Tamandua tetradactyla: one gene and its partners. The protein of the gene in region 4 purifies or fractionates together with the protein of the main gene of each other region. This does not show direct contact. Links are inferred from orthologs where the notes say so. Each region holds a gene or a part of one and is shown on either strand. Other genes may lie near its edges.

Evidence for each region.
Region 1: the proteins of IFT57 (region 4) and IFT27 purify together in Homo sapiens (co-immunoprecipitation; 3 studies listed by BioGRID and IntAct, with this or other methods). This does not show direct contact. The link is inferred for Tamandua tetradactyla from reciprocal best matches to the Homo sapiens genes IFT57 and IFT27.
Region 2: the proteins of IFT57 (region 4) and IFT172 purify together in Homo sapiens (affinity purification with mass spectrometry; 3 studies listed by BioGRID and IntAct, counting the BioPlex papers as one, with this or other methods). This does not show direct contact. The link is inferred for Tamandua tetradactyla from reciprocal best matches to the Homo sapiens genes IFT57 and IFT172.
Region 3: the proteins of IFT57 (region 4) and IFT20 purify together in Homo sapiens (affinity purification with mass spectrometry; 3 studies listed by BioGRID and IntAct, counting the BioPlex papers as one, with this or other methods). This does not show direct contact. The link is inferred for Tamandua tetradactyla from reciprocal best matches to the Homo sapiens genes IFT57 and IFT20.

The regions. Positions count from the first base shown.
Region 1 is NC_135333.1:29,076,438-29,083,500, forward strand, and holds the start of IFT27 (intraflagellar transport protein 27 homolog), read right to left. Parts: upstream 3,002-7,063; 5' UTR 2,906-3,001; exon of another isoform or gene 2,862-2,905; intron 2,574-2,861; 5' UTR 2,487-2,573; coding exon 2,453-2,486; intron 1-2,452. UniProt on the Homo sapiens protein: Small GTPase-like component of the intraflagellar transport (IFT) complex B that promotes the exit of the BBSome complex from cilia via its interaction with ARL6. Not involved in entry of the BBSome complex into cilium. Prevents aggregation of GTP-free ARL6.
Region 2 is NC_135329.1:11,404,744-11,412,350, forward strand, and holds the start of IFT172 (intraflagellar transport protein 172 homolog), read right to left. Parts: upstream 3,010-7,607; 5' UTR 2,866-3,009; coding exon 2,827-2,865; intron 2,803-2,826; exon of another isoform or gene 2,667-2,802; intron 2,456-2,666; exon of another isoform or gene 2,373-2,455; coding exon of another isoform or gene 2,352-2,372; intron 291-2,351; coding exon 147-290; intron 1-146. UniProt on the Homo sapiens protein: Required for the maintenance and formation of cilia. Plays an indirect role in hedgehog (Hh) signaling, cilia being required for all activity of the hedgehog pathway.
Region 3 is NC_135332.1:51,606,056-51,613,843, forward strand, and holds the start of IFT20 (intraflagellar transport protein 20 homolog), read right to left. Parts: upstream 3,018-7,788; 5' UTR 2,863-3,017; intron 1-2,862. Other genes in the region: TNFAIP1 (BTB/POZ domain-containing adapter for CUL3-mediated RhoA degradation protein 2), read left to right, coding at 6,546-6,750, 7,353-7,522. UniProt on the Homo sapiens protein: Part of intraflagellar transport (IFT) particles involved in ciliary process assembly. May play a role in the trafficking of ciliary membrane proteins from the Golgi complex to the cilium.
Region 4 is NC_135336.1:38,855,325-38,863,342, forward strand, and holds the start of IFT57 (intraflagellar transport protein 57 homolog), read left to right. Parts: upstream 1-5,002; 5' UTR 5,003-5,126; coding exon 5,127-5,338; intron 5,339-7,729; coding exon 7,730-7,892; intron 7,893-8,018. UniProt on the Homo sapiens protein: Required for the formation of cilia. Plays an indirect role in sonic hedgehog signaling, cilia being required for all activity of the hedgehog pathway.

The DNA of each region.
Region 1 (7,063 bases), on a different chromosome or scaffold from region 4:
GGTATGGAACGTGGAGTCAGGCTCTAGCTCCACCATTTACTAGCTGTGTGGTCTTAGGTGAGTTACTTAATCTCCTTGGGCCTAATCTGCCACATCTGTTAAATGGAGAAAAAAGCACCTATCGCATAGCATCTCACTCATGAGAATTTAATGAGCTAACATGTACACTGCCTGGCCTATAATGAGTGCTATTTAAATGTTTATTAAGCAACTAAAATATAGATAAATGTCATTGTTATTTTCTCTCTTCGGCAGAGCCACAACATTAAACAGCTGTGCCAAGAGGCAATTCCCCAGCATCTGCCACATGGAGGGCATCTGGTTTGTCTTTGCCACATTATAACTTCTCATGACTATCTTAGCACTTCCATGACAGCAGGGCTGATTCATCCTTGTATTCTTATTGCACTCTGCATGCTGACTCACAGATAGTAGGTGCTCAATGAATATCTGTTGCATGGATCAACACTTGAATTGACTATCATGTCCCTTGTTATCTATATATGTGACAGAAAAAGATAAATTAACTCAGTTTTAACAGTGGACCTGCAAGGAGTGAAAGGAAAAGTAAAATCGGTGAGGGGAATACGTGTGTGTGTGCGCACAGAGAACAGGAATATGAACTCAGGAGGCAGAAGACGGTGGAGACTGACCCACCAGTCTTTTGGTCTCTGGAAATTTCCCAAGAGCGGATGCCTTTGAGACCTTGGAACAAGGATGCTGTGGACTGAGGGCCAGGCTGGAGTTCAGGGATGACCTACTCAAGCCATGGCTGAAATGAGATGACACAAATGTCAGAAGGAATGGGCTTCAAGAAAGGCCAAGGATGTAGGCTGCAGGCTTGAGGATGGTACAGCACAGCGCTAAGAACAAGCCCTGGAAATCAGATTGCTGGGTCTAGAGCCCAGCTCTGCCACTGATCAGCTGTGAGGTCCAGGGCGAGTGCCCTAACCACTCTTGGCCTCAGTCACCTCATCTGGAAAATCAGGCTAATGAAAGGACCGACGCTGTAGGGATGTGGATGCAGGATGGTCTGGGTTGAAGCATTTAGCACTGTGCTGGCACACAGGAAGTGTTCAGTAAGTTGGCCCCACGTTGGAGAGTTAAATTTAAAATAAAGAAAGAATGACTAAGAGATACAACAGTTTAAGAGAGAAGCCCATTAAAAAAAATCTAACCTGAGAAAATAAAATCTTTCCCACCCTACCTGTGAGGAAATGGGCTCAGAAGTGCTTCAACCAAGATGATATAGTCAATAAGAGGAACAGCTAGAATCAGTTTCATTACACAATACTGCCTCCCCTGGCGTTTAGGAAACATGAGAACCTCTCTTGAGAACCCTTAATTTCTTCTGCTCCAGTATGATTTGAGCTATTGTCAGTCATCTTTCTGTGTGACCCTTTTATTTCAAATTTCTGAGAGGTCATTAAAAATATTATCTATGTTCAATCTGGAAGAGGGACAATGCAAAAAAGGAATCTCTTCTTTCTCTGCAGAACTCCTGCTGCTTCTTTACTGAGCTGGTGGAAATCTGGCGAGCTCATGAGTTTCAAAAGTAGCCTAAGTTAAGAATTTTGGAGCGGGGTAGATTGAAATCCTGCCTCTGACCTTCACTAGCAGGTGACCTTGAGCAAGAGACTTCACCTCTGGGCACCTCTAAGATCTCAACACTAGCAGCACCTACCCCACTGTGTATGGTGACTGCTGAAACGAGACACGTGTGCCTGGCATGCAGCAAGGACTCAGGAAAATATGTATTTGTTTAGTAGCCACAAAGTCAAGGCAGCTGTTTCTGTAAGTGTGAAAATGGATACAAGGGGAGCCTGACAGATGGAAATGGCATGTATTTATTTTATAGATATTTATTGAGCATCTACTATGTTCCAGGCATGGTTCTGGGTGTTTGGATTTACTAGTCAACAAATCGTACAAAGATTTCTGCACTTGGGGGACTGAACACTTATTCTCTCTAGAGCGGGGCAGCACATCTTTGGGTCTTGAGGACAACATACAAGGGCCTTTTCCAAACTCTGGTCAACTCTACATTCCTCTCTCTTACCCCTGTTATTAGAGGGGTGGGGATCAGGGGAAAATCACTAAAATAAAGACTGCCAAAGTTATTGGTGCTGAACTTTGGAGTCCAAGAACTGACTTAGTTGAAGCACAAATAGGGATGATTTAGCTGATTGTTTAATGAGTCTACTTCTCCTGATACAGCTCAGGCTGGGGAGGGTGGTGGTCTCAGAATATGTCGAAGGTGGGGTGGGGGTGGAGGATCCAGCTGCCAAGTGCTTTGGAAGCTAATTTTTCCTACACCCAGGGGAACTGACTATCAGAAACTGCAAGGACTCGGGAAGAGGGCAAGCAATTTACGTGATCAAAAGCTCTCGATAAATTATGAAGCATCTGGACTCCGGAGACCACCGTATTCACCCCAAGTTTTCAAACTCACCTGCCAGGATGCATTTGGCTGCCAGCTTCACCATGGTAACCACCAACCACCACGGACCAGAGAAGGGAAGAGCGGCGGCTACAGGAGATGGTAGAGTGGGCTTCGGGGGCTCCGGGTCTGCCTGAGAAGGGGGATGGGGGAAGGGGGACGGGCTAGGACTCACTCCCAAGGAGTGACGACGGCGACCTGCGACAGCGGTGGGGAAGGGGACAGGTGGGGCGGCTAAGAAAAGCTTTAGGGTCCGGGGAAGCAAGAGAGCTCCAGATGGGGCTCGGCTCAGGCCTCAGAAAGCAGCCTGGAAAGATGAAAGCGTGGCGACACGGCTCCCCTCCCGGCCCAAGCCGTAGTCCCGAGGTCCAGGGACAAGCACCACACACCCCGCCCCAAGTCCCGCGTCTAACACGCTCACCAGGCGACCATCGCCCACGTACCCGCCTCCTCTTCCTCACTCACCCTCGATTGGCTGCCGCCGAAAGCTCCACCCCTGGAGGCGTCCCGCAGATCCAGTGGGGGGAGGTGGGCGGGGCGAGCATTCCTTCCTGGTGACACCATTCGTCATAGTGTCTGCTCTTCAAGCTCTTGCCGCTTGACGAATGGCTGCAGGAGATATCAATCATTTTCCTCTCCCGCCCCTACCTCTCCGGAAAGTCCCGGGAAAAGACGCTCCAACGCCTTGTAGCCCCGAGCCGTGATGAAAGAAGTTCTCTGATTGGCCGGAGGCTGGTCTGGACCATCTTCGGAGGAATGAGGCTCAGCTTCACCCCCTGCCCTTCTAGAAGTGGGTTCTCCCACGAAGGGGCCTTTCGGGTTCGCGGGACGCTGGAACGGCGCCTGCGCAGTGGGGAGGTTGCGGTGGTTAAAACCCTGCGCGCGAGTTTGCGCGCCACTGAATTCGCAGGTCTTTGTTGCTTTCCCAATTCCCATCCCAGGATTGGAGCTGTAAGGTGTTTTGAGAAATCCAGCCCTTACTTCGCATCCAGCAGCGACATCTCATTTTGTATACGCTTTGAAATCTAAAATACGAAAGCGTTTAAGGTGGTGCCAGTGAACAAATGGGAGAACGACTAAACTTTGGGCGGTTGAATGAAGCAACGCATGGATCTGGGGGTCTTACTTTCCTGGGACCCCATTTCCTCTCATGTAAAATGGAGATGTGTCTCATGCCACAGATTGTATGCAAGCTTGTGGTCAAGGACTTTGCCCAACACTCAGGAAGGATCCGTAAACAACAGTTAACTTTCCTGGGAGGTCCCTCTTGCTGTGCAGTCAGGAAACCCAGACTTAAATCACTGCCGTGGGCAGAAGTAAAACTACCTCATGGGTTGTTGTGAGAATTGAAAGTGAGAAAGAGTAGGGACAGTGTAGGTGTTCAATTAATGATTTATTGTCTTTTATTTTTACAAACAATTGTTGAGTGGATGAACGAGAAGGAATTTATCTAGGCAGACTTTGGGTTTATCATCATCGTCATAGGGTGGGCAGATGCACCCCCTGTTCTCACTTTTGCTGGGACCCCTGGGAACTTGCTCACTAAACAGAAGGAAAAGCGGCCGCTAGCATTTGGAACAGAATCCAGCACGGTGAGACACTCAATAAATGTTTTTGAATGAATGAATGAATTTGGTCGAGTTTACCCTTCTGGTCATCCATTCATTCAACTAGCAATTCTTGAGCTTTTGCTTTGTGGGGTACACGGGCTTATTGCTGGGCTTATAGCAAGGACCTTTCAGATGGGAGGAGCCTGATGCCTGGATCCTCCGCCCTCCCCCGCCCCGCCCCGCCCCGCGCTGGACCCACAGGCTTTGTGGAGGAGAAGGGGTTAATAGCTCTGCTCCCCTCAGTGCGCGGCTGTTTCGGCTGACCCAGAAGCAAGGACTTGGCTGGGAGGGGAGGAGAAGGGCAACTGTCAGTAGTTCCCAGGGACTCTTTAATCATCCCAGGCCGAGCGCCTCCTAACCGCTCTGACAAGCGGCTGCGATGAGCCGGGCTTGGCATTCCCTGCACAGTCCCGGGGCTGATTTTACCCTCTACGGGGTGCAAGCCTCTCTGCATCTTGCCATCGCAGTCGGAGGGTGTGTGTGTCTGTCTGCCTGTGCCCTACCACATGTAGGGCGTATTAGCAAGTTCCTTGGACACAAAATCTCTCTGAATAAAGAAGAGATTCTAGGGGAAATTAGTGGGGAAAAGACTTTTGAGAGTCATTCTGCATGAACCCTCGAGAAGAAAACCGTTGGTTCATTAAAGCAGACTTCCTGTAATGCCCTCATGTCAGAGGCTAATGCAAGAAAGAGAGGGGTAGTAGATTTGTAAGAATTTTATATATTTAGATCGGGGTTTCTCCAACTTCAGCACTCTTGACATTTGGGGCTGGGTAATTCTTCATAGTTGGGGGCTGACTTTTGCATTATAGGATGTTTAATGGCACTCTGGCTTCTACCCACCCGATGCCAGAATCCATCTCCCTACTTGTGATGACCAAAAATGTCTCCAGGCATTGACAACGGTCCCCTGGGGCTGCAAAATTGTCCATGGATGAGCACCTCTGGTTTAGATGTTATTAACTCAATGAATGAGGATTGTTGGTTTTAAAATTGAAATCTGCAAGGACTGGGGGCTCCGAGTGTCTGGGACTGAATCCCCACTTCGTCAGGTAACCTCTCCATGCCTCAGTTTCCTAACTGATCGTTTGGGTGCTGTGAGGATCACATGTTAAGGCGTGTAAAGGATCTAGAACAGCCCCTGACAAGTAGTGAGACTCCATAAATGCCAGCTGGTATTAACAGCCGTGGGCTGAGGACGAATCTTCGGAGGGCAATTTATAACGCTCTGGCGGCGCTCTGTTTTATAATGTCCTATAATGCACTGTGTTGCATGTGGTATGCTGCCTTCCCTGGGTGCAGGCTTGTCGTCATGACCTTTGCTGCTCGGCTTTTCTCTGTTCATGCGGGCCTGGCTGTTTATGCCTCTGCTGATGCAGTGCTTGGTGATGCTTATCTCGGTAAAGGACAGAGGAAACGCCACCGATTGGGTTCCCATGCGTCCGGAATGCAAAGCAGAGGCCTTGAACCATGGCCTCGGAACTGCACGCAGGCTGTGATGCACGGTCTCGGTCACCAGGGGGCAGCAGCAACCAGGGAAATAAAGCTGCAGGAAGCAGCCAAGGGCTGCGGGGTCTTTTTGATTTAGTTGGCTACTACCTTTATTTAAAGTTGAGCTAATGATCCTTCCAGAGCCAACCGAGACCTCCTTTACCAGCCCGGGATAGCTCATATGCGGGAGCCAAGAACTGCGTTTCCAGAATGATCCATGTTTAGCACCAAAAGGTTGGCATCCAGGCTGATAATTTCCCTGGGTATCTCTCTCCCTTTGATTCACAGCCCAGAACCTGCCACTCTGACCTCGGGTCCTGCTTGAGGTTTCACCCTGGGGGCTGCCAACGTTCCTCACTGTTCCCATCTATAACACTTGTAGAGCTGTGTTTCCAGGAGAGGACAAATAATTTGGAATGGCTCAGTCTGCACCCAGGGCCAATTCTGTTGGAGGTAAAGTTAAGCTGGGTACTGTTGCTTGCCTGTGCTTTCCCCCTTCTATGCCCTCTCCCCCCTCCCTACTCCTGGAGGCGTCCCACCCACTGCCCCCTGCTGTGCTGAGTGACAGATCAGCCCTCCCCAGCAGCCCTGTGTCTCCTGCTCAGACTCCATCTTAGCTTGCCACCTGCCCTTGCCTTGGTAACAGCTCAGAATCTCATTCTCTCATAATTCTTCTGAATCCAGTCTCCAGCCTGCCCCCCACCTCCCAACTAGCACACAGTGTCATCTTTTTAAAAATCCTAATTTTGAATGAATAATCTCTTTCCTAGGTTTAAAATTTAGCACGTAGAAAGGAATATGCATCTCTTCCCACCCCCGGCCCCATGCAGTTTCCGCCCCCAGGGACGCCCTCTCAGCGGGTGGTTATACACCCTTTCAGGGATATCTTAGGTACATTCCAGCAAACGCATTTATACTATATATTTTCTTATTCTTTCTCTCCTCCTTTCTCCCCACAGTTATCTTCCCAAACAGTCTTCTACACTTGGCTTTTTCCCTCTAACAAGGTACTTTGGAGAGGTTCCATGTCAGTTATGGAAAAAGCCCCTCATTCTCTTTTTAGGGTTATGTCTGGTTCAATTGTAGAACATGATCTTTCTAAATCTTGTCATATTTCCACTGAAAACCTCTCAAAGACTTAAGTGTCTCTGGGTTAATATCTGCCTTCCCCACAGGCGCTGTCCAGGTGGGTGAGTTCCCCCCATGCCCCCAGCTTCTTTGCACTTTCTGTGCCTGGGGCAGGATGGGTCTCTCTGGTTTTTAAATTTGACCTTTGCCCAAGAGCTCCTTTGTTAGAAGGGCCTTCCCCTTTTTACCAGATCCACTCATACTGTGCTTTTCTCAGCTTAGACACCTCTTGCACCGCATGCCCTGTACATTCCTTAACTGCAGTGAGTGGCATTTTTAGCTGAGGGCAGCGCTGCCTGGAGCCAGGTGTTCGAATCCAAACCCCGCCACTTCCTAACTGGGTGGCCTGGAGCTGCTTGCTACCCTTTCTGCCTCGGTTTCCTCCCAAGTGGAA
Region 2 (7,607 bases), on a different chromosome or scaffold from region 4:
CAATTGTAGTAAATGTCACATACCAATGCAAGGTGTTAATAACAGGGTGGTATATGGGAATCCTGTATTTTATACATGATTGTTCTATAAACCCATAATCTCTAAAATAAAGGAGGAAAAAAGATATACATGAGAACACTCTTCACCTTCATGTCAGCTGGCTTGGTGGAGAATTTATCTCTCCGCTCCCCATGTTCATCATATAGCAACACCACTCGGTCCACTGTGCAAACAGCAAATTTGGCATTGTTCTGGGACCAGGCCATGCAGGTCACCTTTGCGGCCCCATCCTGAGAGACAAAGGGAGTAAAATAAACCCAGCTGCTGGTTTAGAATGCCAGAAACATGTCTAATTCTGTTGCTTCTGGTATGACTTCAGTCAGTTTTCTTCCTGTCAAAGTGCTTTCCGTAACCATCAGACCCTGAACTGAGAGAACAATGTGCTTCCAGAGACCCATAACACCATTATACTAAGGGGTGACATGCTAAATCAATCATACAAGTGTGTTCCTGCAATGGCCATCTTGTCTCTCATACCCCAACTCTGCTACTAAGATAAACCCAATTGGCCTGATAAGTTCTAATCTTTAGCCAATCATTCAATGAATATTCTTTGAGCACCTTACCAAGAAAGGCATTTGGCCAGGGGCTGAGAGGGTAATGAGGAACAGAATGTGGTTCCTACCCTTGAAGGGTTTAGGATCTAATCATACGGTAAAAAACTGGAAAAGTTCCATAAGAGAGGTACCTAAAAATCATACAATAGTTTGGAAAAGGATGAGATAATTTTATATTTAAATGATCAAAATTAAAGTTGGACAAATGGACACAATTGAGTGGGAGAAATTATTTGAGGTGGAAGGAATAGCATGAGCAAAGGCAAGTTTGGTCAAGAATCAGTAATTTAGTTGAGCTGAACTCACTTTGTACACAATAGAATAGGGGAGGAAAGGCAGGGAGGGGAAAAAACAGGCTAGCTCAGGAAGGGTCTTTGAAGCCAGGCCACACAGTTTAGGCTTCTTTGGTAGGAAAGGGGGAAACAGTGAAAGTTCTGGAATGGGGAGCAAAACAGAGGTGAAACTTACGATGAACAATGTCATCCCCTCTCCCCCCAGTAACCACTTTACTGAAGCCCAAGTTGGAAATGACCACTAATTTTCCATCCTTTCCCATCATCAGCCATGATTTTTTATGATTCTGCCACTAAAGGTTGCCCTCCTTGAAATAAAACAAACAAACAAACAAAACAACTTTTAGCTTCTACTCCAATTGCTTGACTAATTAGTTGGGCTCTAGAACTCTGGCTTAAACACTGTTACTTTTCCCTTCACTCCTAACTCACCTACCTCCACAGTCAGAAGTAAAAAATCTCAAACAAGAGCCGAAAATAGCCATACCACCACCACTAACATTCTCCAACTATTGATGACATCAGATGAAAATGACTGAGGGCCCCTCCACACCGCTGCTGATCATCCTGCTTCATCACTTTGCCCAATCCTGCGCATTTGGCCCTTTCCTGCATCATGACATCATCTTATCTCAAGAGATTGAAGGGGCATTTCATTTCCAATTATTCTATTAGGGGAAAGGACTCTTAAATTACAAATTCAGGGTGCGGTTTACTGAGCCACAAGTACAGCTCTCTTAAATTTCCTTCAACTTTCCACAGCCTCTGTGAAGCCTTCCTGATCTTCACAATCAATTCTCCTTTCTCTACAAGACATACCTCACAGGACTGTTGGGAGGATTAAATGAGATCGGAAATCAAATAATAATAGCTAACTTTTTACAAGCAGTGCCCATAGACTACACATTTGCAAAATGTTTGACAGGCATTAGCTCATTTAGCCTCCTATCTCTGTGGTGAATGCTATCATTATCCCCCCTTTTACAGTTGGGGAAACTGAGGCATAGAAAAGTTAAATAATTTGTCCAAGGTTACAAAGTTTATAAGTGGCAGAGCCGAGATTGAAATCCATGTATATCTGACTGCATAGACTGCTACCCTAACGCCTGTACTTAAGCTTCCCTGGGACATAATAAGCACTCAGTTACAGCATATACTACTCTTTTAGCTTTGTATTATTTTGTCCTTTCGATTGTGAATATTCTTCTCTCTTGTCTATCAGTTTTCAGACTGCTTTTCCGTTTACAAAGTTCTTTTGTGCCTATCACTTCATTTAACTCTCCCCTGAGTCACCTGCAGTTGCTATTATTGTTCCCATTTTCCAAATAAAGAAGCTAGATGAGTTCTGAGAGAAATTACCTATAAGAGCCAAAGTCAGAAAAAACAGGAAATTTGTTTAAAGCAGTGGTGGAGCTAGCGACTTGAACTCAGGTCTCCTAACCTGACTGTCTTTTGTCACCATGACTCAGGGTTCCTCCTCTAGTAGCCTCTTTCACATCCTAGGGTCTTCGCCACTCGAATGAACGGTTCAGTCTTCCGCACTCCCTATTGAGAGGTTTGTATCTCTTAGATAAGTCTGTACAGATTTATGTTCGTTGCTAACATGAGCGCCTCGCCCTCTATCACAAGTCTCTTTAAGGCGGGGATAAGAACTTAGGTAGTTTTAGGGTCCCTTACTGCCCAGCCCGGGGCTTGGTACACAACTGATGTTAAACGAAACGTAAGGAAAGCTGCAGTTGTCGGCTGTCCATCTCACCTACTGCACATTTTGTGTGGACGGCGCAGCGTCCGAAGCATCCTTACAGCCTGTACAGACTTGCGCACACAATGGACGCTCGCCACTGTTAAACTTCAGTTCCCCGACTTTTCTCTGAACGGAAGGCGGGCGGGGGAGGTAGAGGCACGCAACTCCTCACCTGAGGGCTCAGCAGGGTCCTCAGGTGCTTCAACTGCATGACGAACACCTGTCTCGCAGATGCCACCAGCCAGACAACTCCCGTGGTTACCTGGACAACCCGCCACGCAGCCGCAGCGACGGCCTCTGACGCACCGGCGACCAGGGCACGGCAAACGCTACAAGGTCATCACGTAAACTCTTCGCGAAGCACACAGGACGTGCGCAAGCGCAGTGAGACCTACGGCGGGACCTCGGGAAGCCGCCTTTCGTCGACCAATCCCGTCACTGCTTGCAACCCTACGCTCAAGCCACGCCCACAAGCCCCTCCAAACTCTGGGTCCTAGGTAGGTGGCTTGTGTTTGATGTACGATCGCTGAGCGTGGCCGAGTGCATTCTCTTTTAAGCCTTTCGACCCTGCGGAAAGCAGGACCGTAGCTATTATAGGCATTTGATTTATGCCGGAAATGAACTTAGGTTCATTTAGGTTAGGTTCACATAGGTTATATGTGACCTGCACGAGATCACAAGGCTGACAGTGAATACCTAGTGTCTGCCAGGTACTGTGCGAAGTGCTTTACCTACATTATCTCATTTAGGCTCAAAACCACCTTTGGAAGGAGCTAATATTATTAGGAAACTCAGGATTAGAGGGGTTTACTTGCCCAAGCCAACAGATCTGGTATTGACCCCAGAACTGATGGAAGTTAAACACCCTTTATATTCCTTCTCAACTCCTGCCTTCCTGCCGGCCTGCTATATACACTGTGACACTCTCATCCAAAGAAATAATGTGTCCAGAGTTGAGAGATGAGTATTTTGGAATCAGTGGCCAGGGAGAGGTAAGATGTCCTACTTCCAAATTGGGAGACAGTGGGCTAGAGATTGCCTTTTTTTTTAATTTATTTTTGTTGTGAAAAATAACATATTTACAAAAAAGCAATAGATTTCAAAGCACACCGCAACAATCAGTTATAGAACAGACTTCAGAGTTTGATATGGGTTACAGTTCCACAATTTTAGGTTTTTCCTTCTAGCTGCTCCAAGACACTGGAGACTAAAAGAAATATCAGTGTAATGATTCAGCAGTCATTCCCATTTGTTAAATCCTATCTACTATGTTATAACTCCTTCTCCTTTGATCTTTCTCCCAATCTTTAGGGGTATGTGGGCTATGCCCATTGTAATTTTTTCATATTGGAAAGAGCTATCGATAAGATGGGATAGAGGATAGAGATTGCCCATATGACTCAGAACACAGGGCAGACCAGAGAGAGCTTGGCTTACCCTATAGGTGAAGGTTAAGTCTTGGGATACCTGGGATTGGGGCTTGGTTAAGTAAGAGATATATTTACTTGATTTTTGGATTGTATAGCTAGGATCCCTTTCAGAATTACTGGTCAAATTTTATGTAACCTAATTGAGAGAGAGACACAGAAAAGGAGGGTTATTCATAAAGCCTCCTGTGGAATGATCCCTAGGAAAGCCCTTAACCCCTAGAAAGTATCCTAAATACTGTCATTTACCACAGCAAATTTACTCAAAATCTGCCTGATTTTAGGTCCTGAAGCTTACATACACACACAGTGGTTTCAGATGTCAGCAGATATTTTTTCCTGGCTGTCACCACCCCTGCCTTGGGAATTAGGAGAGGGTAGAGGACAGCTCCTATTTTTATAAGAAGCAAGTAGACCCTAGTGGGGCAGAGTCCAAAGTATAATTCTTTTGACAGGGGAATTTTAATCCCTCAGTTTTATTCCCAAGAATCCTCCTCTGGACATGGTTACAAAGCCTGAATATAGATTCATTTACAGTTCACAATTATTAATGTGACCAACTGGACAGAGACAGACAGATGAAAGAGAAGGGAAAAGCAGAGAATAGGCATGGGGACCCACAGGAGAGGAGCCTGTGGCACTAAGAGTTCCTTCAGTGCAGCTGCTCTTTTGTTAATCCCTGAGACGCTGTTCAGTCCATTCTGACCATTATCCCACGGTCAATGGAAGCGGCAGAAGAGTAAATGGTGAGGCGCTGGGTTGCTGATGTAGGCAGCCAAGGTAAAAAGGCTAATGGCTCTGTCATGGGGCATAACCTTAATCTTCCACTGTGCAGAAAGAAATTATATCCCTCTTGTGCCCTTTTCCCCCTTCTCATCCAACAAGTGAAAGGAAGTGGGGCTCTAGTTCCTGCATTCCTTCTCCTTGACCCCTCTCCGCCTACCCCTTCAAGCCTGGAGAATCAAAGCAAACCCCTTACAATGAGAGTCTGTCCCTGTCAAGTTGTTGGTGGCATGAGGGGTCCTTGACCAGGCAGGAGAGGGGTGAAGTGGGGAAATGTCTTCAGCGTATTCTACAGTATAGCATAAAGTCAGCTCCGGTTTGTCCAAGAACCTTTATTGGAAAAATGTCCAAGGGGGTGAGATCACCAGCAGCTGGAGGGACTGCCAGGTGAGAGGGGGAGCACCTGAGGCTCCATGGAAGACATTGGAGTAGTGCAGTGCAGCATCTGCCTCCAGCCCCAGATGATTCTTTTCATTTGCTGGGGGAGAGGAAGTGCCCACAGAAACACCCCTCTCTGAGGCAAGATATAGGGGCAGCTGGGGATGCTGAGAGTCCTGATGCAGGTGGAATGGGGCCCCTTATTTGGGACCTAACGGGGTAGGGTTGAACAAGTGACTCTCGCCTGGACCTGGTGGCTGAGAAGAGGCATCCTTTCGGATATCCACTCCCCAGGTCCAGGGGAACAGACGCTGGCAGACCTACCTTCTGGCCCTGCTCACAGTGGAAAGAGGATGGGGGTCAGGCCTGAGATTGCGGGAGCGCCATCCCCCTCTGGGAGATTGTGGGATCCTTCAGCCTTGGACCGATCACTGCCTTATGCTCACCCTGACCCCACCCCCATGCCCAGTTGTTCGCGCATCTCTCTCTTGGTTTGTTTCTGTCACTCAGACATCGATGGTGTTGATGGACGGTGACTTTTTCTGAGAAAGGAAAATGGGTTTGACTCTAATTTCAGGAAGGTAATAGGCGCCACACCTTTTCTCCAGCCTCCTCCAACCCATACCTTCCACGCTCCCTCTTTTCCTGCCCCCCTTTGGTCTTCTCTCTTTGCCTGGTTTCCCTTCCCACCCTCACTGGTCCCACATCACCTGTCTTGTCCCTCCTGGCCTTCCCTGAGGACTTGGTTCTGGCCCCTTCCCCTTCTCCTTGGGATTGTTGTTGGAGTCGTTGTCCTTGATGATGTCGTACTGACGGCAGAATAGCCCAATTACAGCTGAAACAGCAACCACACCAATCTGAGCCTCGATCCTGACCTCCCCCATCACTGCCTTGAAGGGCAGCGGGATACCCAAATGGCTTCTAGAAAACCCGAGAAGAAAACCCTTGAACTCCCAGTGCCTGTGTGGGGTCTGCCCTCTCCGTCTTCTCCCTGGGATCCCAATGGCCTCTTCTCCCTCTCTGCCAACTCCCCCATCATCCCCCTCAACTCCGTTTCCTTCACACCCTTTCTCCCAGGGACCTCCCACCTGCCGGGAGCCCCACTCAGCCCCTGGTTCCCCAGCCAGCTGCTTACTCACCAGCCCACATAAGCAGCACCACCACGACGATGGCGGCTTCCCCTGTCTGCAGCGGTCGCTCTCCATCCAGACCCTCCACAGTGATGTCACCTGAGAAGGGAAGAGACAGACTCTGGGCTTCTGGGAGTCAGCTGGAGAATTAGGCCTAGGCACAGGGTTAAGGATGGAGATGCTGGGGATTAGAGTCAGGGTAAACCCATCCCAGTTTGCATCTCGGGGAGGAAACGGTCAGTGGACAGGGAATTAGAGACTGAGAAGCTGGAGGGCCAGAGGTCAGGCACTCACTTATGCAGGCTGCAGCTGCTGTGAACTGAGGCTGGGGAAAAGGAAGCTCGAAAGCCCTTCCCCCAAAGGATTAATTCCCAAGCTGTCTAGAACCATTCTTCTGCCCACCTGCTTTTCCTTCCTTTCCTGGCAGCACAATGAATCAAATCATCCCTCTATTCATCTAAGCTAGACCGGTGCTTGCCTTGGGGGAAATAAACAAGAGGCTAAAGGCCAAGGTAAAAAGCCAGAGGATCCCGAGTTTCAGGGGGGACCTAGGGAGTGGATGGGATCCTTACCTGGGCTCGAGCTGTTGGAGGGCAGCCGGTCAGAGCCCTTGAGAGTTCGGAAGTGCACCCGGGGTCCCGGGGGGCTCTCTCCCCGCAGGCCAATGCTCCTGACTTGCACGGTGTAGTCGCTGTCCTCAGCCAAGCCCCAGAGGGCACAGGCCCGAGTGGTGGTGTTCACCTCCCGGATCACGCGCTGCCCGGGGCCGTTCTGCCGCTGCGGGGAGCAGACGGGAGGGAGAAGAGCCTCGTGCGGGTCCCGGGCCTCAAGGCTAGAACCGGGACTCCCGAACAGCCAGACACCCCCAACAGAGCAGCTTCAGCTAGGAAACACCAACTCTCAGATTTCCCCACCGCTGGGGAAAGGGGAGGCTGGGGGGCTGGGGGCGGGCAACGGAAGGAAGGCTCAGAGATTCAAGGACACAGATTGTGGGGGGAGCAGCGGGCTGATTCATACTTGCTGGGAAATGGAGTAGCCAATGACGATGTTGCCTTCTGGGACGTCCCAGGACACAGTGGCCGAGTTGGCTCTGAGGTGAGTGACCGTCACGTTCACAGGAGATGGAGGCCGGTCTGTGGGTGCCGGCGTGTGAACAGGTTAACCGCCTCCACCCGCAGACCAGCCGTGGCTGACCCTCAACCCCCGGCCCCTCTTCACTCACCTGCTCGCACAAA
Region 3 (7,788 bases), on a different chromosome or scaffold from region 4:
CCGAGGTTGATTTGGAAAGAGGCCGGCCACTGCATAGGCCCTTGGAAGGGGTGGGACTACCACTTTCTACAGCCGAAGGATAAATGAATTTCAGACTTTGAAATCCAATGGTGTTTGCCTGCAGGTTTTCCTTCCAGTTTCTCCCTATGGATCCAGTGTTTATCCTCCTTTGCATATTGGCATCAGATACCTTGTTTTGAGATTCACGGGCCCACAGCAAGAAGAGAAGTTTTTGCACCTGTTTAAGGTGATGCTTGAAGTTGCCAAGTTGACAAGGGGTGGACATGTGTTAGTTAGATTCAGTTGTCAATTTGGTAAGGTGAGCATACCTAGTCTTGCTGCTGTGGACATAAGCCAATGGTACGTGAACCTCATCTGTTGCTAATTACACCTGCAGTCCGCTAGGAGGCGTGTCAGCAGCAATGAGTGACGTTTGACTTAATTGGCTGGTGCTTAAATGAGAGATTGCAACATAGCACAGCTAAGCAGCTCGGCATTCCTCATCTCAGCACTTGCAGCTCAGCCCAGGCCTTTGGAGATGCAGAAAGAAGTCACCCCGGGGAAAGCTGTTGGAACCCAGGGACCTGGAGAGAAGCCAGGCAGAGACCATCCTGTGCCTTCCACGTAAGAAAGAACCTCCGTGGAAAGTTAGCTGCCTTTCCTCTGAAGAACTAACAAAATAAATCCCCTTTTATTAAAAGCAAATCCGTCTCTGGTGTGTTGCATTCCGGCAGCTAGCAAACTAGAACAGTTTCTGACTTTGATAATAGCATGAGAAAAAGCAAACAGTGCTACAAGAATTAAAAAAAAAAAAAATCCATGAACTGTACGATACAAATAGTGGACTCTAGGTTAAATGATGGTTTTTTAAATAATTAATAGTACAATTATAAAAAATGTGCTCTCATCAACTGTAACAAATGTATCACACCAATGTAAGGTGTTAATAACAGGGTGGTATACAGATATCCTGCATTTTAAGCATGATTGTTCTGTAAACCCACAACTTCAATATAAAAATTAAAATAAATAAAGCACACAGTGCTACATGAAGGTGTAGGTGGAGGACAATATTCCTATGGGTAAGTGAATATTGCCAACACAGGCCTACCTGAAAAAGTGACACTTAAGCTGAGACCTAAAAGTTGCCCCCAAATTTTTCAAGTGCAGGAGGGAGGGAGGCACTGCATGTAGAAGGATCAGCATGTGTGGCGATCCCGAGGCTAGAAGAAATGTGACACATTCCAAGAACTGAAAGGCCAGTGTGCTGGTTTGAAAGGAAGTATGCCCCCTAAGAAAAGTCATGTTTTAACATAAATCCCATTTCTTAAAGGTAGAATAATCCCTATTCAATACTGTATATTTGAAACTATAATGAGATCATCTCCCTGGTTGATGTGATTTAGTTAAGAATGGTTGTTCAACTGGATTAGGAGATGACATGTCTCCACCCATTTGAGTTGGTCTTGATTAGTTTCTGAAGTCCTATAAAAGAGGAAACATTTTGGAGAATGAGAGATTCAGAGAGGTTCAGAGAGAGCAACACTACAAAGCAGAGAGTGAGTCCACCAGCCAGCGACCTTTGGAGGTGAAGAAGGAAGACGCCTCCCGGGGAGCTTCATGAAACAGGAACCCAGGAGAGAAAGCTAACAGATGAGCCGCGTTCGCCATGTGCCCTTCCAGCTGAGAGAGAAGCCCTGACTGTGTTCACCATGTGCCTTCTCACTTGAGAGAGAAACCCTGAACTTCATCAGCCTTCTTGAACCAAGGTATCTTTCCCTAGATGCCTTTGATTGGACATTTCTTTAGACTTGTTTTAATTGGGACATTTTCTCGGGCTTAGAACTGTTAACTAGCAACTCATTAAATTCCCCTTTTTAAAAGCCATTCCGTTTCTGGTATATTGCATTCCAGCAGCTAGCAAACTAGAACAGCCAGTAAATGAGAGGGAGAGTGGAACAAGACAACGCCGTGCAAGGATAGAGGTGGATCATGGAGGGCTCTGAAAGCCCCAGTAATGAGCTGGGATTTTATCATACAAGTACTGGGTAGTCCCTGGAGTCTCAGCAGAGCGACATAATCAGATTTGCATTTTAGAAAGATCATCTGGCTCAGCATGGATACTGGACTGGAAGGGAAAAGAGGGTGTGGCCACACCTACCTTGTTCATCACTGTAACCCTAGCACCTGGCATGGTGTGTGCACATAACTGGCACTCAGTAAATGCTTGTGGAACCAACGATAGGAACTAAAGAAAAGTGTTCCGATTTCAGATGTTTTGTAGGTCGAATCGAGGGAGACTGGTAATGGACTGATTGAATACCGGGCATAATTTCCAGGGATCTTGCTTGAACCAACTGCATGGTTGGAGGGGACGGGTAAGACCGGAGAAAAGGCGTAGAGAAAGGGTTAAAGGGTTCACAGATTCTCTCTCAACTCTCACTAAATACATGTACTGAGCATCTGAGAAACACCGCGCACATGAGCCGGGACGGAACTTCCTAACGATGAGGGCCGTGACACTGCACAGCGGCACTCCCAGAGTCAAGCTAGGCACCATGAGCAGCTCCATTCATGGGCTATGGGCGGGGAGTACAAGGCAAAAAGTTAGGAAAAGAACTAAGTAAACTCCTTGAACTCATCTGAATCATAGTTTCCCCGCAAGGTCCTAACGAGCATCCTTGCGTAAAGCTCCAGTCCTAAAGAGACGGGAGGGATTCTCAGATTTCTTCTGGTCTGGGACTGCATTTCCTCAGGGAACGGCCCTGGCAGGTTCACCTCGCCCTGATTCTGCCCGAGTCTACACCTGGCTCAGAAGTACTGAGCCAAGCCCTGTTCTCCCAAACCGGAGTCAAGGCCTACCTGTCAGCTCAGGAGCGGCGGGGCGCTGCAGCCCAGGATGAGGCCGGCGGCCGCAGAGATCCCCGTTCACCCGGGCTCGGGGCGGGGCCCATCCGCGTCCGCCGCTGCCACGGCTACAGAGCCTATTTACCCAGTACGTCACGGCCGGACGCCGGAAGCACTTATGTGCGCCCGCCCCACAGAGCCTGCTGGGAAACAGAAGCCTAAGGGCTGGGGTGGTAGCCTACAAGATCCAGAGGGCTTTGCGTCGGCAAGGTCGCCGGAAGTAGCTGCTGTCTCACTGCGGAATACTCCAAGGGACTCCTCCCTCCACTCCGTTAAGGTGCTGAGAATGCCGGTCCTTGTAGTCCCGGTTGCCGCGGCCGGCAGAACGGAGGCGCGGCTGCGGGCGGAGTCCGCAAGCGGAGGATGTGAGCTCACTGCCCCGGATTGCAGGCGGGAGGGCGACTGCAGTCCAGGTGCAGCACGGAGTCGGCTCGCAACCAAACTGAGAGAAGCGCCCTCGTGGATGGTGAGAGCTGGGCCTGCCTGTGTCCCGGGGAAAGGGATGGAAGGGTCTGGTGCTGGAGCAAAAGGGCCCCACCTGGTTCTCTTGGCTCCACCAGTGGGACAGGGTAGGGTAGACGGCGAGCTCGAGTTCTCCGCGGGGGATAGTTTGGGTCTTAGTTTCTCGGCAGTTAGGAGGGTTAAGGGCCGGGGAAGACCCCACAGTGGCCGCAGGAGAAATTGGGTCTTGCTAAATTTCCCCAGACCCTTCATATGAAGCCTAAGATTCACACTCCGGATTTCTACTAGAGCCACCCTCTCCAGCCAAGATCCGCTTTCCCTAGCCATCCCCGACGTGTGACGGATACCTGGGTCCTTCTTTCAGGACTTCAACTCCCACCCCATTCACTGTGGTGTTTACCCTTTAAACTGCACGGGTTTGCCTTTTAAACTTCACTGAAACACGGATACGCCCCCAGCTTCCCCAAATATCCACACACAAAGTCCGGAAGGAAGAGTAATGAGGCTATGAGTGGAAATTTCATTCCCGCTGGAATCACTTTCTGGGCGTCACCCGCCAGAGGATTCCTGGGGCTCATTGGTCTGGGAGGAATCTGAACTGACGTCATCCGGAGCTCAAAGGAATTGCTTTGTAGAAAAGGGAGTAGATTAGCTCAGGAGACTTTTGTCTTCCTCTGTTGGTAAGCCTAAGCCTTTGAGTTCCTTTGCTGTGACAGAAAATGTAGTATGCTTTCGATAGTTCTGGGAGAATTGGAGCTAGACATAAAATACATGGGGAACTTATTAAAACCTGTAAAGATTTTGGGTGGGCGGAGGGAAGTAAGATGATCTTGCCATGCAAGTGTTACTCATCGATTAGGCAGTCTCTGCAAGTGAGAGCTCGTCTCATTCATGCCCCATTCCTCAGGCAGGTGGAAGAGGCGCCCCAACAAGCTGCCAAAGGAATTCAGTACTCCACACAGCACCCACTGTGACCCTTCCTTGGACATTCTTCCCAGGGACCTACCTAAATCTTTTCAGGGATAGTTTCAGTTTAACAGTCGACATGTATCAAATTAAAACATGCACGGCATTGTGCTAAGCACCATTTGGGGAAACCAGTGCACTGCTTTCCAGTGCACTTTTAAGAGATGATGAGCAATTCTAAACTCCTACTTGTTATGACATTTAAATGAGGTGATTCCACTTTTTTCTGTCTCCATTATTACCACTGCAAATCTTCCCACTTGCTTTAACACCCTTCCACTCCAATCTCTTCAGAGCAGCCAGAGTGATCTTTTCAAAACATGAATCAGAGAATGTCACTCACCTGCTTAAATCTCCAGTGGATTCCCATTGAAATTAATATAAAACCCAAACTCTTTAATACTATCCAGACCCTGCCTTCCTGACCTTACATCAAACAACTCCCCATTTCTTTCTGTGCACCAGCATCTTGGCTTTTTTTTTTTTTTGCATGGGCAGGCACCAGGAATCGAGCCCAGGTCTCTGGCATGGCAGGCAAGAATTCTGCCATTGAGCTACCGTCGTACCACCCTTGGCTTTATTTTTGTTTCTCCAACTTGTTTCTAACACAGGAACTTTGCATTTGTTCTTCTGTCTCTCTGGAATGTGCTTTCAAATATCAGTTTAAAAGTTCCCTTCCCAAAGAGACTTTCCCTGGCCCACTATCTAAGTTAGTGACTCCCCTTAATCACTCCATTATTGTTGTTTTATTATTTTTACTGCATTTATCACTTTTTGAAATTGTTGGCATAATTATCATCTGTCTCTCCTCACTAGAATGTAAGCTCCATGAGGATATGCCTACTTTGTTTTCTTCTGTAACCCCAGTGCCTGGCAAATAGCAGACACATGACAAAAGCTAATTCTTATTACTTTTACTCTTAACATTATGATAGTTCTTTGAACTCCTTGAAGGCAAGTGTAATCTCTTTTCATCTCACTGTCCGTACTACTTCACATAATAGACACTTAGTTTTTTTGCCGAATCAATTATATATTAAATGCCTAGAATAGTACCTGGCACATAATACTCATGCAATGAATGTTGGCTATATTTTTTTCAGTGAATGAATTTTGGTGATTCTTTGGAAAGCAAAAGCCATATCATATATAATCTAAATCACGAGGGATGACCTGCCTTGGTCATCCTTTTCTTTCCTTACTCCTTCTTTCTATGAATTCCTGTTAGTGTTTCGATTTCCAAATCACTTAGTTGTTTTTAGATTTATCATCGGGTCTTTGCTGGTCCTTTCTCCCCATTCTTGTTGGGAGGGAAGACAGGAAAAGATAGGGTTGGACCCCCTCTCAGGAAAAAGAAGCAAAAATAGCCATCCTGTAGTTGTTCTACCCTGAAAAATGGTGACACTTTTAGGAACTTGGGACAAGATTGTTGCCAAGAAAGGGGAAGGTTAGGAAACCCCAGCAGGAGCCAGGATAATCTCTGCTAAGAACCCTGTGGCCAGCTCCCTCCCACGTTGCTCACTCAGTTCTCTCAGGAAGCTGCTTTTACTTTACTTCTTGAAACCAAGCCCCAGAGGTGCTCAGACCAAGCACTGCTCCTGTGTCCGGAATCTGTTAGAAAGGAAGTGCATCCTGTCCCTCTAGCTCCTGGGAAACTCATAGGATGGCTGGATACTCTATAGATTTGGCTGGAAGTCTGGGATCCTGGGATTCTGACTGGCCGATTCCCCAGGTAAGGACTTCTGCTCTGTCCAGTCTGTTCTTCAGGGCCTCCAGCTAGTTCCAGGGACTTGCTCGTCTTTCATACTGCCCAGAGCTGAGTCGAGTTTTGTCGGGGCTGGCTCACTCTTGGCCTGGTGAAGTGACCAGAGCTAGGTTCTGGGAGACTGTGCTCCCAGGCTGGTTCCTGTACAATAAAGAACAGCAGGAAAGTCTTTCTTATTGTTGTCTGAGGACCTGGCCTCTGCCACGGAGTGCTTGGGCTTATCAAGAGGGCTCCCCTGGATAGCCAGTGTTTCTACTGTTGGTTTTGGCCCCTCTGGTTTAAGGGTTCTATTGTGCTCACCTCTCTCTACTCTTCCATCTCCTGCTCCCAGTGCTGAGAGAATGAGGCTCTGGCCTCCACTGGCCACCCACCTGTGACCCCTTCCACCACGGCGGAGCCTTCCAAGCCTACCTCCTGCCGTGTGGTAATCTACCTGCAGCGGGAGATGTCAGGAGATACCTGCCTGTGCCCAGCCTCAGGGGCCAAGCCCAAGCTAAGCAGCTTCAAGGGAGGAGGCCTGGGTAACAAGTACATCCAGCTCAATGTGGGGGGCTCCCTGTACTACACCACCGTGCGGGCACTCACCCGCCATGACACCATGCTCAAGGCCATGTTCAGCGGGCGCATGGAGGTGCTGACTGACAAAGAAGGTGAGAAGGGGCCTACTGGGTAGGGTGGGGAGAGAGGGAGGAGTTCCTGAGGAAGTGACTTCAAGGCACGGCTTAAGCCTAGCAGATCTGAGATCTGGATTCACTGTTCCTATTCACCTAGAATAGGACTTCTGGAGTTGTTAGTAGAGCTTCACAATTCTTTAAAATTGTACATGAAATGTTACATGTTTATGCATTTTTCCAGGGAGAACTTCTCATAGGACTTGATTTCATAAGAATCATTGCATAGTGACTAGGCAGTGGACATAAAGGAAGCAGAGCCTGGTGGTTTCTGTGTTGCAGGGTGCTGGCCTAAGCTCTCCTGAGCTTAGACCTCTGTGGACCACAGCAGGGCCTGGAAGGCCTGTCTCTCCCATGGTTTGTGCCAATTCTTCATTTCAGGGAGGAGGGTTAAGGAGCATCCATGGGCCTGAGAGCTAGACGTTCCATCCCCACTTGTCACCTCTGTGCCTTGGGCCTATGCTGTGTACCTCCTTTCAGCACCTGCCACCAGGCTCACCCAGGTGTCCTTTACCTGCCTCCTGTTTCTGAGGCACCTTGAAGCAAACAGTAATTCTCTGGGGTCTGGTTTCAATCCCTAGGCTGGATCCTCATAGACCGATGTGGAAAACACTTTGGTGCCATTTTGAATTACCTCCGAGATGATACCATCACCCTCCCTCAAAACCGGCAAGAGATTAAGGAACTGATGGCTGAAGCAAAATATTACCTCATTCAGGGGCTGGTAAACATGTGCCAGACTGCCCTCCAGGTAGGGAGCAGAGTTGGGATGAGTTGATGAGGTTGGGAGTCATCCCCTTCTTCAAGGACCTAAAGGTCCAGTTCCTGGAAACCAGTGTGGAGGTATGTCCAGTGAGTCCAAAGCTATTTAAATCCAGCTAGCCATCTCCTAGACAGAGGGCCTGAAGGACCTATGCAGTGTGAACTGGCTCTGCTTCTAGTTATTTGCTGAAATGGCTGAATTTGGAGTTTTCAGAAATGGGGTTTACTTGCCAGTGAGCAGCGAGGTATTTTTGT
Region 4 (8,018 bases):
TCCCAGAATATACATACCTACTTAAAGTCTGTTAATAGTCATCCCATCACCTACACGGAGGCAGTAAACTGAAGGCAGTTCACACATACATTTTATTTCTCCCACACCTTTTGCTCATCAAGAAAACAAACCCATGGAGCCAGGCAAAGCTTTGAGATATATAGAATATCATTGAATGGTACTTGCCATGAGAGCCAAAGTTAGCTGAAGCAGTCAACTATAATCTTGGTGGGATTAAACAACTTTTTTTCTAGTAGAAAAGAACTAGGAATCAGAAGTCCAGGGCATGAACTGCAAAACCACTTCCTTTTCTAAGTTAGGTCTTAGGATGTTCCATTGGTGTTTTGAACAAGAATTATTCTACATCTGGCCCAGGAATCTTTCTATACATTGGATGGAAAACTTCACTGAAGTTTTCATGATCATTGATTCCTTAGGTGGGTGAGTATATTTTAACCCTCAAAGTTGCAACACTAAGTACAGCAATGATGAATTCATAAAAAGATACAATATGTTAAAGAATGAGTTTGATATTTAAATATCCATGGTTGAAAATTTGGCCTATTAGAGAAAAAGACCAACTTATAACTCCGATTTATAATGTGTAATTGAGTAATTGACATAGATTTTGTTTTAAATTGAAGCTAGGTTTATACATAGTATTGAAATACACAATAGAACCTAGCATATGCATGCACGCATATACACACACACACACAACACCCTGTCCTTTTTTAAGCTTTTAGACTTCGTACCTGGAATGGTTTGTCAGACAGAATGCTTAAAATAATTTTATAAACAATGTAAAAAAAAAAAAAATTGACTGTAGCAAACACATTTATAAATTGAATAAGATTTTAATATCAAACTAAAGAACTAGGCTTCTTAGTTTTAAACTTTAATGTTTTAATCAAATACCTTTAACAACTAAGCGCCTGAAATAGTGTTTTCTGTGCAAAGCCACCCTCAAGAGCATTAGGATGTCACACTGTCACAAAAATCCAGATTCAGATCCTTGTAAAATCAGAATACATGGCAAAATTGGACTGCATTGCTGCCTGAAATGATGGTCCCCTCCTTGAGATGGTACATGACCTTTCTAGTTCACCATAGTCCCCTTCACATGTCACATTTACATACTCAGACCTTATAAAGACACTTGAGATTTTGACCCATTCATCCAAAACAGTGATACTCAAACAGTGGTTATTGGCCCTACAAGGAGCCATTTGGCAATGTTTAGAGGTATTTTGGGGGTTCTCATAACTGGCATCTAGTGGGTAAAGGCCAGGGGTGCTGCTAAACATCTAAAATGCAAAAAACAGACTCCCTAAACTTATTAGCCTAAAATTTCAATAGTGCAGAAGTTGAGAAACTCTGATCTGAAAGAATACAACTAAACCCCTCAGCTTAGCACAAAGGCTTTGAGCAACCTATGACCTTTGTGCATCCTAGAAACTAATCCACTGACATTATATGGGTTATAAATATCTTCACTGTTTAGAGTTCTTTGTTGTACCTAAGTTCTTAAATTGATGTGCATGAGTTTCTCTATTCTTTAAAATTTGTTCTTTATTTCTTTCAAAAGATCCTTTCCTACCCTAGGGTTAAAAATGTTTTAATATGTTTTCTTCTAAATATTCTACAAGTATTTTACATTTATACCTTTAATCCATCTGTAATTTGTGTGATAAGAATCAGAGATAATTGTTTCCATACGGATAGTCCATAACAAGGCTTCAACATCTATCAAGTAGTTCATCTTTCTCTATTATTTGGCAACACCAACTGTCAGATACTGTTTCCAGGATCTTTATTTTAGGTTCTACTTTTATTGGAATCTTGCAATTTGATATGGTGACTCATTTCCTATCTTTGAGCATTAGGTTCTTTAGATTTTTCCATGAATGTAGAAGTTTATTGATTTCTCCATAAAGATAATGATAAATTTACTCCTGGGGTATGATGTCATTTTTTTTATTGAAGGTTTTGTTTGTTTGCTTGCTAACTGCTATTTCCATCAGCTTTTTCTGTTCGGATCTCATCTATAGTAAACTTGCTAAGTTGTCTTTTAATAGGTTTCTGTAGATTCTCGGATTTTTTACTTTGTCAATCCATCACCTGTAATGGTTTCTACATTTTGCAATACTTGCTCCAGTTTTCTTGTCTCAAGGTACTGACTGATTTCTAGTACAGTTCTGAAGAGTAGATGTCTTCATCCTCAGTTGGTTTTAGAAGGATTCACTTCTAATCCTTCACATTTAAATGATTTTTCCCCCTAGGATTTTTAGTCAAACACTTAGCTTTATGAATCTATTAGTGTAAGGAATTTTATTCTATGTGGCTTTCTAAATTTTTAAAAATCATGAATGGGTGGTACTGAGCCACTTTATGACAAAGCTGCTTTGTCCTTTACGGCCGCCCGATCTTCTTGAAGACTTTTTCGAACATTTGGAGATGCAGCTTGATAGCCTTCCTCCATCTTTGAACCTGCCTCCTCTTCACCCCTAGCTTTCAGGGAAATCCACTTGGCTTAAAACAGCTTTGAATGTAACGCTACTCAGTTTTCAGAGATTAACCAATTCACAAAAAGACCTTAAGGGTCTCAAAAACTATCTCTGTTTATTTAATAGATAGTTTGCAAGAGATAAAGTCAAAATCAGAAGCCTGCTATTAATTGAGATCAACAGAGTAGAGCCAGGGATAGATCTCCCTTAAGATTCTTTAAAAGTAGTGTCAACATATTCATTCTCATCAAGCCCCACCTAATTCCTTCCTCCACAAATCAGCTAGTCCTGCAAAAGTTAACACAAATGTATCCCAAAGTTTCTAAGAGGCTGACAGCTAGAAGGGGATTTGAGTGCATTCTCTCCAATGAAGGAAAGTAATTACGTCAAGGAAAAGACCTCTCAGTGTTACCAACTATTGAGGGTAACCAAGGAATCAGTAAAAATAATTTGTGGGTCTTATGAAAAGGAATTGACATTTCAGTGTTGCTTTCCAATCTTTTTGCTGTGAGAAAACATGCAGTGTTGAAAAGCTAAGCTTCACTTCTTTCTCTCTGCCACAATTACTGAGGACACTATATTTCATTCGTTTTCCCCTCACCTCTATCCTTTCTTTTCCACAACAGTTACAAGATAATTCTTCACAATGATTCCAGGTTAGGCTGAGTCAGACATGGGAAGGGGATGGCTAGGTTTTACAAGTTTTTCCCCCAAAATACATCATTTTTGGAGGATTTCTTGTCACCCCAAAAAAGCAACACTTGATTATATTTCACACTGCATACTATATAAGATCCTGGAAATGTCAGAACTTTTTAAGTAAGCAGGGTGCCCTGCATCAATGACGATCTTCTTGGGCATAACCAATTTACCCTACAAAGTCTGATACTTACGTATTAAAAAAAGCTACAGGTTGCTTGTTGATTAAGCAAGCACCCCAAATCATCTGAGCTTTGGAGTTTATTTTCCATCCTAACAAGCTATCTTGTACTCAGAAAGTTATGCAGATGTCTCTTCCCCAAACATACATACACCCACACACTCACAGAAGGTGGAGTGGAGACTTAAGGAAAAGGGGGGAAATCACTGTTTGTGAAGGTTATGAAAAGGAAATATTAATTTGACAATGGTGTGGAGCCAAACACAATTTTCCCACTTATCTTTATTGAAGACAACTGGTTAATGACTTATAGCAGGGAGGCAATGCTGTTTAATTAAAAAACATTTCTCAATGCCTTTCCCTTTTGGATTAGTCTACAATGATGTGTGTTTCCCCTTTTTGATGAGATTTGCTTTCTAATTTTACTGATACCTTTATAGCTACCAAAAATAAGTTAGTTCTAGACAGATATTAAAATGAGAACAGACTTTTGCCCATTTTTTAAACAAAAATACAAAGATACTACAGGCCCATCGCAAACTTCAGTTATGTCAAAAAATGTGATTTCTATATTCTTTAGTGGCATATATAAGAGATAAGAGAGCCTCAAAAATCACATTAAAGACAAAACATATATTTGAGCATTTGTCTTAATTTTTCTTCTCCCAGCTACCTCCCTCTTACGCAGTTGTTAGGAAAGCTGCTTGATTCACAGTCTTGAGAACCGTAGATCTGGGCCACAGCTGTGGTCAGTGATGTCCCCTTTTTGCATTTTCTAAGACAATAGCAGCAAAATACATTATTGAATAACACCTGGTCTTTAAGCACACTCAGGCGTTTGGAATTCCTTTCAAGCTAATTGTCTCCTTCATTTTGTTCGTTTTAACAGGGCTTCCCAGAACTTTATACTATGTGAGACGGGTTTGAAATACATTAAGGAGCAAGATAGGAGCTAAATGTTCTTTTTTGAAATGGAGCAAATCCTGCCTGAGGGGCCTCCTTTTTGCTTTTCAGTTTCTACTTCCCTACCTGTTCCCCAACCAATCCCTTTCCTAGCACTGAACAAGAGAAAGGAATTGGAATTCTTCACGCTTTATAATATAGTGTTAAATAAGTAAAGCACTACCAACGAGAGGGAGAAAAGATTAGGTTACAACAAACAAAAACTCCTTGTTGTAGTTTCTGAGGTAAAGTAAAATCCACGCTATTGACTATCTTTATAACTGAAAATTTTCAATTTTAAGAAGAAAAAACTAGGTTTCAGTGGATTAGCGTAGCCTTCACTACTGCATGTCTTCATTTCCCTTCAATGTTTTTAACTTAGCTACCAACAGATCCATACACCAACCCTGCAACCCCGTCCAGCGAGAGAAGCTAAGCAGATTGCTAGCATCCCCCTCCTTTGCTTTTAAGCGGCTGCTGGAGGCTGAGCAGGCTGAAGCCGGGAGCGGAAGCCACGCCTCCAAGAAGGGCGGGCCAGCCTCCCAGCCACATCCTCCGCAAGGTGAGGGGCGGGGTTCACGGTGACGTCATTCGGAGGCCCTCTGTGATTGGAGGGAATTTAGAAGGGAAACAGAGGGCCCAGGAAAGAGGCGGAGCCTAGTTTCCTTGGTGACGGGTTGCCCGGCGGGTCGCCTGGTAACGGGTCGCGGGTGTTTTGGTTGTGGCAGCGCAGGCGGTGGAGGCCCGGGAGGTCTGTGGGCTGGAGGCCCCGCCGGCGTCCTTCTGTCTGCTCTGCGATGGCTGCGGCCGCTGCAGTCGTCACACCGACAGGTTTGGAGGATACAGTGTCTCGGACCCGCAGCGAAGGGGCTGGAGAAATGGTCGTGGAGCGGGGGCCCGGCGCGGCCTACCACATGTTCGTAGTGATGGAGGACCTAGTGGAGAAGCTGAAGCTGCTCCACTATGAGGAGGAGCTCCTCCGGAAGAACAACCTGAAGCCCCCGTCCAGGTGGGTCCACTCGTCCCTGAGCGCCTGGGTCCTAGCTGATCCTGGGGGAGATGCCTTCCCGCGTCCTACTGGGGAACGCCGAGCACGGGTTAGAAAGCACTTTCCTCCATCTTCCTAGTCGGGGAAGGGCAGCTTACCCCAAACTCAGCGACACTGTTGTGGAGCCCACAGAGTTCAGACTTGGTATTTTTGTAGAGAGAGGAAACAAGTTTTGGAATGTCAGAGGGACTAGAAGACAGCTAGCCTATTCTCTAAAATGTACACTTGTCACAAAACACAGACTGTATTTTCTGATTATAAAAGTAATAAAAATACCCATTGTAGAAAGCTTAGAAAAACACAAAATTGTGCAGAAAAATACTAAAGTCATCCGTAATCTTATCCTCAGGAAGGAGCACTGTTATTTAGCTCTATTTCTAGTCTTTTAATTTCCTCTGCGAGGACCTTTCCATACAACTGGCAACTGCAGGTACCTCAGACTTGCTGAGTACTTTATATGTAAACTTGTTGACTAATTGCTATGGTTTAAAAGAACTTCTTCTGCCTTTGCAATAAAGGTACTCTCAGAAACTAAGAAGTGGGAAGCAGAAAGAAATGACAAAATATTGAAATTGTCTCCTGGTAGAACCTAAGGTTCTGCCCTTGTTCCTACTGGGGAAAAGTTTATCTTTCCTTGATGATAGTACCATTTCTTGCTTGAGAGTAATGGATAGCAGCACTTTCTCCTCCAATTAACATAGTCCAGCTATAGTCAAATGAGTTTTATAGGGACTACATTTGTTTATTTTGTATAAGAGGCAATTTAGATTAAGAAGACTGAGCATTTTCTTTTAAAGTTTGTAACTAGGTTAAAGTAATTTTCCTCGAAGTTTTAATTTCATTCCTCTGCTCTTTTCTAATAATTTAATAGCATACTATGTAGACTTATGTAAACTGTCCATATTGCTAAATCAATCCATAATGTCAGAAAAATTGGAGGAGGAAAAAGTAGTATTGCTTGATCCATGATAGAACCTGTTAGATGAGGAGTTAGCATGAATTGATCAGGATAATATAGACAACTTACATTTTCTATGTTAATAAAAATTCGTTACCTTTTTCCCAATATATTTTTCAAACTAAATGAAAATGACCTCAAGGTTCTGTTGATATCAAGCTCTGTACTCTTTCCTCAGGAGTTCAGCAAGATACTTTGAGTCATGAATACAAATGAAGATATGCTGGCTCAGTGGTTCTAAAAGTGTGGTCACCAGACCAGTAGCATCAGCATCACTTAGAAACTCACTGGAAATGCAATTTCTCAGGCCCATTCCCCAATCTACAGTATCAGAAATAGGTGTTAGCATTTTGTGTTTTTAAAAGCCTTTTTGGTGATTCTTATGTACTTCAAGATTTGAGAACCACTATCCTTCCTCTTTGTTGGTATATCAGTTTCTACTGTCCTGGAGGGGTAATCGGCTGAAAAGGAAAAGATGAGTTATTGGTAAGTGGGTGCTTTGAAAGGGTCCTGAGCCTATATCTGAAAGGGCTGCAGGGCCTTTCCTTCTTTCTCAGCTTTTTGTTATTTTCAAGAACATTTATTTATCCTGCAGGAGAAAGTTTGGGAAACATGAAGAAATAAACCATTAATTCTTATGACAAATGGTGAGAATAGCTATTAATACAACATAAACATAATAGTAATACCTTTAAGTGAAAAAAGCAGGATAAGATCTTTGTTCAGACTGACTTGAATGCTATTGCTTGCAAGTTTTATTCTTAACATGTTTAGGTATAAATCATACTGATCCTCATAAGAATTTTTTTAGTAGGCTAGATGATTTAACAAAAGTTAACAATATTTGTTAGAATGGAGATGTGTTACTCTGGTTTTTTAAATCCTCGGTATACCATAGAACCATCTTGGGAGCTTTTAAAATAGACTCATACTGGGCTCCATTCCCAGAAGTTCTGGATTCATGCAAAGATATTAATGGCATGTTAAAAAGTAAAAATTTATTGTGAGTGGTCATTAATGTGTTTTTAATAACTCTGAGTTTCCTGTTTCCAGATTACCATTTTCAGGAGGCACTCTCTTATTATTTCTAACAGCTTAAATGATTTTGGCAAAACTTCCACATACACTACATTTTCTAGATATAAGGTCTTTGAGGTAATATTTTATGTACAGTAGTAATTGCCCTAATCCTATTTGTTAAAAGTTTTAATGTGAGTGCTGTGGATTACTGGAAACTTTAAGGGGTGAAATATTAGTGTCTTTTGATTTTAAGGCCATTTGAAAAATGGAAAGGGTCCTTTGGCAGATTTGGACTGAGCGTCTTTAGGTACCACAGACTTGTTTGCATTATTTCATATGCTACTTCTCTCCCCAACCCCCTTGTTTTGAAACAGACACTATTTTGCCCTGCCTACCAACCCTGGTGAACAGTTCTACATGTTTTGCACTCTTGCTGCTTGGTTGATTAACAAAGCAGGACATCCCTTTGAGCAGCCTCAAGAATATGATGACCCTAATGCAACAATATCTAACATATTATCTGAGCTTCGATCATTTGTAAGTGTAAACAACTCTTTTCTTTCTGCACGTTCTCAAGTTATGAACTTTAATATTGGTGATTCCACAATATAAATGCTAGATGCTTCGATGAATTCTCTCTGAATATATGTAGCTACATCTTAA